Canis lupus familiaris: one gene and its partner. Each later gene encodes a partner of the first gene's protein in a complex. Links are inferred from orthologs where the notes say so. Each region holds a gene or a part of one and is shown on either strand. Other genes may lie near its edges.

The links. Proteins that work in one complex are often made in the same cells at the same time.
Region 2: the proteins of CCNT1 (region 1) and CDK9 are in contact, whole or in part, in a crystal structure (PDB 3BLH), measured with the Homo sapiens proteins. The link is inferred for Canis lupus familiaris from reciprocal best matches to the Homo sapiens genes CCNT1 and CDK9. Residues at the interface, in NP_001231.2 of Homo sapiens: Arg5, Lys6, Arg11, Trp12, Arg26, Ile72, Gln73, Phe78, Phe89, Leu90, Lys93, Val94, Pro98, Lys99, Lys100, Leu101, Val134, Glu137, Ile139, Leu141, Gln142, Thr143, Gly145, Phe146, Glu147, Leu148, Thr149; in NP_001252.1 of Homo sapiens: Val8, Glu9, Cys10, Pro11, Phe12, Cys13, Lys56, Glu57, Gly58, Phe59, Ile61, Leu64, Ile67, Lys68, Gln71, Leu72, Leu81, Ile82, Glu83, Ile84, Arg86, Ile99.

The regions. Positions count from the first base shown.
Region 1 is NC_049248.1:40,858,581-40,863,062, reverse strand, and holds the start of CCNT1 (cyclin-T1), read left to right. Parts: upstream 1-1,612; 5' UTR 1,613-1,992; coding exon 1,993-2,153; intron 2,154-4,298; coding exon 4,299-4,380; intron 4,381-4,482. UniProt on the Homo sapiens protein: Regulatory subunit of the cyclin-dependent kinase pair (CDK9/cyclin-T1) complex, also called positive transcription elongation factor B (P-TEFb), which facilitates the transition from abortive to productive elongation by phosphorylating the CTD (C-terminal domain) of the large subunit of RNA polymerase II (RNA Pol II).
Region 2 is NC_049230.1:55,704,457-55,708,558, forward strand, and holds the start of CDK9 (cyclin-dependent kinase 9), read right to left. Parts: upstream 2,801-4,102; 5' UTR 2,733-2,800; coding exon 2,641-2,732; intron 2,182-2,640; coding exon 2,100-2,181; intron 1,299-2,099; coding exon 1,208-1,298; intron 862-1,207; coding exon 695-861; intron 573-694; coding exon 401-572; intron 244-400; coding exon 95-243; intron 1-94. UniProt on the Homo sapiens protein: Protein kinase involved in the regulation of transcription.

The DNA of each region.
Region 1 (4,482 bases):
ATATGGCAAAGGAGGGGCTGAAATGGGAGGAAATACTTCTGAGAGTGAATCAGAATCAAACTGAGCAGCAGCAGCATGTCTAAAATGACAAAACTCAAAATATTATAAGAGATAAAAAAATTCTAATACTCTCCCAATTTAATCAAAGTAAACGGTTTCAGAAACGCAAGAATGAAGTCTGTTAAAATGGAAAGAACAATGGAATTAGACTTGATTTAAACACCTACACTTCATAGCAGTGTAGTGTAGGGCAAACTTCTTAATCTCCCCGAGCCCTAAATTTCTTCATTGTAGGGTGCATTTATGTGACATGTACTGACTACCAGGGCCGGGACTGTACTAGGTAGGTGCTATGGATACAACTCACTTTTCATATAACAACAAATACTATGATGACATCTACTGAATGTCAATAGATTTCCTATGTGCCAAGTACTATTATAAAGCCTTTCAACTGGGCAGCCCGAGTGGCTCAGCGGTTTAGCGCCGCTTTCAGCCCAGGGCCTGATCCTGGAGTCCTGGGATCGAGTCCCATGTTGGGCTCCCTGCATGGGGCCTGCTTCTCCCTCTGCCTGTGTCTCTGCCTCTCTCTCTCTCTGTGTCTCTCATGAATAAATAAATAATATATTAAAAAAATAAAGCCTTTCAACTAATTCCATCTTCATTTAATCCTTCTCAACCTAAAACGTAGGTACTGTTGTTGTCATTTACATTTATACAAGAGGTACAAAGAGGTTAAGATATCTAGGCCAGGATCAAACACGCGTTAGGCGTTCAGCGGGGATGTTTCTTGGCGGGGGACAATTCTTACGTGTGCAAGGTGGAGGTGGAAGCTTTCCACAACGAAGGGCCAGTTTTAGTTCACTCGTCCACAGAACAGGGACTGAAATAGTACTACTACCTCTCGGGGTTTGGGCCTGCTATTTATTTATTTGATTTGATTTTTATTTATTTACCTCTTGGGGTTTGGGCCTGCTATTTATTTATTTATTTATTTATTTATTTATTTATTAGATTTTTATTTATTTACCTCTTGGGGTTTGGGCCTATTTATTTATTTATTAGATTTTTATTTATTTACTCATGAGAGACACAGAGGGAGAAGCAGGCTCCCTCCGGGGAGCCCCATGCAGGACTCGATCCCGGGACCCCGGGGTCACAACCTGAGCTAAAGGCAGATGCTCAACCCCGGAGCCACCCAGGTTCCCCGGGGTTGGGCCGCCTTTTAAATGAAAATAGTATATTTAAGAGTAAACAGTGTGTCTGGAGCATGGGAATCCGTAAATCAATACTATTAATTAAATTTGCATTCCGTTATGTGGTATCACTATGGCGAAGCACAGGCAATTCTTTTCAAAGCTCTAGATAATGCTGCAAAGCGCCTTCGCAAAGTTTACACCGCTACCAAGAACCGAAGAGCTTTCTACCTGCTTTCTCTTACGATATATACGGTAGGGCCACTCTCTTTGATTACTCTGTCCAGTTTTGGACAATCTCACCTGTTCCCTCTGTCAAGCTCGCTATCCTCCCCCATTTTACGTCGCCACCTCCGTCACAAACGAAGTTCTCCGAGGAACCGCCGAGGGGCGCGTGGGCGGGCGCCTCCTCCCGCCACAACAGTTGCCTGGCCACCTCGTCCACCACGCGACGACTCAGCGCAGCTCTCGCGGGAGGAGACGCGGTTTCCAACGAGACCTTCTAACCCCACCCAACCCTCTAAGGGTCACGTGACTGGCGCCTGCGTCCTCGACTCGAGGTCTTTCCTGGTCTCCTACTGGCTGTTAACTCGGCTACAGGCCGTCGCGAGGCCCATTCCGGAAGTAGCCCCTTTATCTAGCATTCTTTTGCGGAAGCCTGTTACAACCCAGCCGGCCACCTTTCAGCGGAAGTTCGTCACGTCGCAGTTGCCCCCGCACAGCGGATGTGTGTCGCCGCTTAGGTGACGCTGGGAAGTGCTTGCAGCCTCCGCCGCTGCCTTCTGGTTGAAGCACTATGGAGGGAGAGAGGAAGAACAACAACAAACGGTGGTATTTTAGTCGAGAACAGCTGGAAAATAGCCCATCCCGTCGTTTTGGCCTGGACCCAGATAAAGAACTTTCTTATCGCCAGCAGGCGGCCAATCTGCTCCAGGACATGGGACAACGTCTTAACGTGTATCCTTGCGGCCTAGGCCTCCGGCCTTGGAGTCAGACCCGCCTTGCTCGGGCGTCCGGGCTCCAGGCTCTGTCAGAGACGGTAGAGGAAAGAGGGGGGACGGGGGCTGAATGTCTGGGTGGAGGAGCCCACGGTGGGGCGGGCTGAAAGTCAGTGTTTGCGCCCGAGAAGCGAGGCGGAGTTAATTTCCCGCTCGCTCACCAGGGCCACCAGCCTTGCTGGGAACTCGTATCCTTCGCAGCTTTGTATTTGAACCAGCCCTTCGTAGTTTCCTTTCGTTGTGTTCTGTTCTCTTAGTCTGGTGACTTAAGAGATTTTACTTTCCCGCTATGCCCTAGGGGTTTGGAGGAGGTTTCGCTGTGGATGGCCGCCTCTTGAACTTTAGTGTGTAAAGAGAGTTTGAGAAATTCAAGACCTGGAAAGTCTTCGAAAGACAGAGGGTGGCCCAGAACTAACGCCCCAGCTTTGATTCAAAATCCGTTCCTTCCGCTTAGGAACTGTTTAAGAAACCTGTCGAATTCTTGGTTTTCTCGTCTGTAAAATGGAGTCCTGCCCCCTTGCATCTAGTTTTTAATGCCTAACAAAATGTGTGGCACTCGTGTTCAAACGGTAGTTATTGTTAAAGTTTTAGAATTTCAGAGGAAGGAAGGATGTCAGTTTCTATTTGTAAGGATATAGACCCAGGGATCTAATGTTTTAAAAGACCATTTACAGAATGTGGAGTTTTTAATGTACTCAGTTCTAATGTGTATTTGTTTTTTTTTAATATTCCAAAGATCAAGTTATTAATTTATTTTTAAAGATTTTATTTATTTATTCATGAGACACACACACAGAGGCAGACACACAGGCAGAGGGAGAAGCAGGCTCCATGCAGGGAGCCCGATGCGGGACTCGATCCCGGGTCCCCAGGATCACACCCCGGGCCGAAGGCGGCGCTAAACCGCTGAGCCACCCCGGGCTGCCCAAGATCAAGTAATTTAGTGATTTTTTTTTCCCCCCTCAAGTATTTTTGTCAGAAAATATACTCATTTCCTAGCAGAGAAAGCTTATGTAGTTATAAACTTCTTTGCGCTCGGGAAGTGGGGAATTATTTCTGAGTGCAGCTTCTGTTTAAGTGTGTCGCTGGCTGTAATGTTTGTTGTGTCTTAAAGTGTTTGCTCGCTTCAAAAGAAGTGTTCTCTTTATTGTGGATATCCAGTTTGTTTCCTAAGCATCCGGTTAGTACTGAGTTGAGCTTTTGTTTGAAATTGTTTCAGTATGTCTAGCCCTTTTTTCTGTGTGTGTTATTAAGGTTGTTGACATCTTGGGACCACGGCCTCTTCTGATAACCCGCGTTCTCTTCTGAGGTTTTTAGAAGTAAGACATTTAAAATTTTTTCTTGTTAGTGAATGAGTATATCAAATCTTTCCGCAGTGTTCCTGTTCCCAGGGATCACCGAATGGGAAGGCTTAGTCTCCACAGACAAGTGGGACTGAAAAAGCTCATTTCTGGACCTTAGAAAGTGAGGATATAGTGGAGACATACCTAGGAGCTGGATTAGGGAGGGCATTGTAAGTCATGTGAAGAGATACCCTGAGCTAATGGATCACCACTGCAGGACTTTCAGGAGGCAAATGACAGGTTTAGGTCTACATAATTTTCTTATATTCCTTGATCCACACGTGTTAAGAAGCTTGCTTATCAATTCAGATTTACATATTGAAAACTGGTTGTGTGTAGGGCATTATATTGTGTCAATTGGTGTTTAATAATTGATGAAAGAAAACAGATTTGCTCTTTAATTTGGAAAATTAAGTATGATTTTCATTTAGAAGCACATACTGGGGCAGCCCGGGTGGCTCGGCGGTTTAGCGCCGCCTTCAGCCCAGGGCCTGATCCTGGAGACCCCGGATCGAGTCCTACGTCGGGCTGGAGTCCAACGTCGGGCTCCTTGCATGGAGCCTGCTTCTCCCTTTGCCTGTGTCTCTGCCCCCCCCCCCCCCCCCCCCCCGTCTCATGAATAAATAAATAAAATCTTAAAAAACAAAAAAAGGAAGCACATACTATGTTTGTCTTGCTTGGTCCTTTTGGGAGGATAGGGAGGTTATATATTTGGGGGTTGTACTGCTGTCTGTTTTGGAGCCTTAACTTTAGGATTTTAGCTCACAATTGACTATCAACACTGCTATAGTATACATGCATCGATTCTACATGATTCAGTCCTTTACACAGTTCCATCGAAACGTAAGTATTTTTTTGTATGGTATAATCTTTTTGTAATCAATTGCAACAACTTGTGTGTGTGTGGGGGTGGGGTGGTGAGGGTGGAGTTGATCTTTGTTGCTG
Region 2 (4,102 bases), on another chromosome or scaffold:
CTGCTATTTCACTCCCCACTCCTCCCTTGCCAGGAGGACTTCTGGATCTCTGCGTCCTGTGGGGACCAGGGGCCCAGGCAGCCTGGCCACGCACCTCAGGGGTGATGGAGCCACAGAGCTGGCTGATGAGGGCAAGCTGGTGTTGCTCGGTGTTGCCCTGCATGATAGGGCTGCGGGTCCACATCTCGGCCATGATGCACCCAGCACCCCACAGGTCAATGGGGGGGCCGTAGTCCCGCTCCCCTGGGAAGAAGAGCGCACCAGGAGGGCCCCTTGAGCCCGAGGGCCTCCTGAGACGCAATGCCCCAGGGCCGGCGGCTCAAGAAGCCCTGGCAGTGGGGGACTGAGGCCGGGTAAGTGCCCAGCCCCTGCCCCACTCCGCCCGCTCGGGAGTCCTCACCGAGCAACAGCTCCGGAGGCCGGTACCAGAGCGTCACCACACGGTTGGTATAGCGATTGGGCTGGCTGTTCTTGGCCAGGCTGAAGGCCCGGGCCAGCCCAAAGTCGGCCAGCTTCAGAACCCCATCGCGAGTGATGAGCACATTAGCTGCCTTCATGTCCCTGTGCAGGATCTGCAGGAAGCGCAAGAGGGCTCAATCAGGTTTCCAAGGGGAACCCTCAGTCGCACCCACCCAGCGGTGGGAGCCGAGGCCCACCCCAGCCCGGGTCTCTCTTACCCCATGCTGACCCCCACCTTGTTTCTGTGGATATAGTAGAGGCCGTTGAGCAACATCTGCATGACCTTCTTGATCTCAGACAGTGTGAACTTGACCAAGACATTGCTCAGCAGCCCAGCAAGATCGTGCTCGCAGAAGTCAAACACTAGGTATATACTGCCTTTGCAGCGGTTATAGGGGGAAGCTGGGAGGGAAGAATGGGGGAGGAGTAAGAAAAAGAAAGTAAAAAACCCCACGTGCAACTCATTTCCCCACACAGCTTCTACCCCTCCAGCCCGTGGACACTGGGATATTCGGCTGTGCCTTCCTTCACTGGAAAACTATTTCCTGAGTGCCTCCTCTGGGCTGGGTGCTGTGGCAGGCCCTCGAGGAGCAACAGCTACGATGGAAGGACCCAAGAGCAGTCACAGTCGGTTTGTCTGGGTTAAGAAGAGGCAATTTAGGTGTGTCCACTTCCAACTTTGCAAAGCCTTAGGCAGTAAGCCTCATTTTCCCCATCTGTAAAGGGGGGCAGGAGCCAAAGAACCTACCTTTGGTTCGACAGATCTCAATTAAGTTGACCACATTCTCGTGTTTCAGAAGCTGGAGGATCTTGATTTCCCGCAAAGCCGTAATGGGGAACTGGGTAGGAGAAAGGCAAGAGGGGGCCTGAGGTGAGCGAGTCAACTATAGACCAATGAACAGACCAATGAACAACCGTGTGGTCCAGATCAAGGGGCACAGGTGCAGCAAACGAGTAAGGTCCCGGGCTCTGACATCATTTCAGATGTCTTAGCTGTAAAATGGGTGTAAAAATAGTATGTGCCCCTCAATGAGTTGCTCTGAGACAATGAACTGAAACAGTGGGACTTAATACCTACACACTTCACTACTCGTCACTAAATAAATGTTCCACAGTTTCTTCAATATTTAAGTTTTAGCTCTATACCTGTATTTAACTTACTAGGTGGAAACAAACAGCTATTTAAGGAAATGTCCTTGCTAAGCAGGTCTCTGGGAAGCTGGACTAGGGCTACAATGAGGCAAGGGAGGGGACTGCTCCTTTTCAACTGAGTACCAGCCACTCCCTTAAAACCACCAAGTGGAATTTCTTTCCGCCTTATGCAAAATGAATGCTAAGGAAACCGTGTTTAAAGGCTTCCTAACTTCAGGAACTAAGGCACACTCTGCAGGCATGAGCTCCCCCTCCTGGCCCCAACCGTATTTACCTAAGAGTGGGATATCAAAAGCTCTAAAACATTTGAATTAAAAAATTCAATTTGGAAGCCAAATTCCCCGAATACGGAAATTGCCTAACTACCCCCCCCCCCCCAACACACAGACACACAGGTTCTCCAGACGAGAGCCCTAGCAGAAGCAGGGTGGAAACCCAACCCCGAGCCCAGGGGAGCTGGCAGGCCCGCCCACCCGGCCCATACTCACCCCCTCCTTCTCGTTCTCCATCAGCACTTTCTTCAGAGCCACCTTTTTGCCGGTCTTACGGTGCTTTGCCTTAAATACCTCCCTGCAGGCCGAGAGGGAGACCCAAGAGGTTTTATCAGGCCGTTTCTGCAGGGCCCGCCCCTCCCCCACCAGAGGAGGGGGGCAGAAAAAAGGGATTCCCCGGGCGGGGCTGGGCCGGGGACCCAGGGCACTGCCCTACCTTGCCACCCGCTATCTGCGGAGCTTCGAGCCTCTACTTCCTCCCCTCAGTCTCCTCACTCAGGCGTCTCTCGGAGAGCCCGCTCCCACCACTGGCTCCTCTCCGTAACCCCTCCCCGCCCCCCATCACAGGCCTCAGGCTCCTCCCCGCCAGCCGGCTCGGTCAGGCCCAGGCGGGCCGCAGCGCGGCCTAGCAAAACCAGGGGACACGTCTGGCGCTCATGGCCTTCCCGACCACCTCGGGCCCGGCCCTGGGCATCGTGACGTCGGATTTGAGCGGTGCAGGCCCAGAGCGCCTGGTCCCCCGGGGGCGCAGCCTTACCCGAAGGTGCCTTGGCCGATCTTAGCGAGCTTCTCATATTTGGACACCTCATCACAAAAGGGACACTCCACCGAGTCGTACTGCTTTGCCATGGCCGCCTCCAGCGCGCCGCCGCCGCCGCCCCCAGCCGCCGCCGCCGCCGCTGCTCCCGCTCCGGGTCCCGCCGCCGTGCTCCAGGCCCCTCCGCGGCCGCGCCACTTCCGCCTCCACGGCCACTTCCGGCCTCGCGGCGCCGACCCCGCCTCTTCCGTCCGCCGCCCGCCGCCAGGCCCCCTGGGACTTGTAGTTCCCGGGAGGCCAGGAGCAGCCGGAGCTGCAGAGGCGCCTCCGCCGCCGCCGCTGCCCCCGCCTCCGCCGCCGCCACTGTTGGCGGCTGCCCCGATCGGGGGCGCGGGGAGCCGGGGCGCCGGGGCTGGGGCTCGGGGCGGTGCGTCCCGCTGCATCGGCCCGGGCCGCCGCTGCTGCCGGAGCCGCTGCCGCTCTGGCGCCCGATCCGGGGCCAGCCGCAGTGCCCTGCTCCTCCTCCTCCGACGGCGCCGCCTCCGCCGGGCTGCGCGGGGCGGCGAGCGGGGGGGTGGCCCCCGAGCCGCGGCCTGGGGTCTCCCTGGCCGGGCCCGGGCCCGGGGCGGCCGGGCAAGGGGGCGAGATGGGAAGAGCCGACGAGGAGGTGGCCCGAGAGCCCGGGAGGGGGCGCGTTATAAAGGGGGAGGTGCCCTGGCCTCGCCCTCCCCTCCCCCTCCGCCCGCCCCCCTCCCTCCTCCCTCCCACCCTCCGCGGCCGCACCTGCCGCCGCCGCCGCCGCCGCCGCCGCCGCCGCCGCCGCCGCCGCCCGCTGTCCGCCGGCCGCCCTCGGCGCGTCACCGCCCGCGGCCCCTCCTCCGCCTTCGGAGGTGGGGCCCCGAGCTCGACACCTGGCTGCGGAGCGCTTTGTCGCGTGCCTCAGTTTACCCCCCCATGCTAGCTGCCGCGGAGAGCCCTCTCCCCGGCTCGGAGTGCCCCTCCGCTGGGAAAGGCGGGAGGCGCCGAGGGAGCGGCCTCCGGTCCTGGGAGGAGAGAACGGCCCCCGCCGCCGCCTCCCCAGGCCCCAGCCGCCCGCCGTTGACATGGCAACCGACGGCCGCTAGGGGGCGCGGCGACACTGGAGACGGCGAGCGAGCAACGCCCGGGCCTTCCTGCCCTGGACCCCCAATTTTCTGGGAGGAAGGGATGAGACCCGCGGGAGCCCTATGCCCACCCAGCTGCGTCCGAGCGGGTCAGTCCCGGGTCAGTAATCACAAAAATGGCTAGCATTTGCTCAGAACTCCTGTGTGTTCAGGAATCGCTGGGCATTCCTGCTGAATCCTGCTGAATCCTCAATCAGGCGCCCCATGGGCAGGTTAACTAGCCCATTTTACAGAAGAGGGCATTGAGGTTCAGAGTGGTGAGGTCATTTGCCCAAGGTCACAGAGTGACAGCGCTGTGA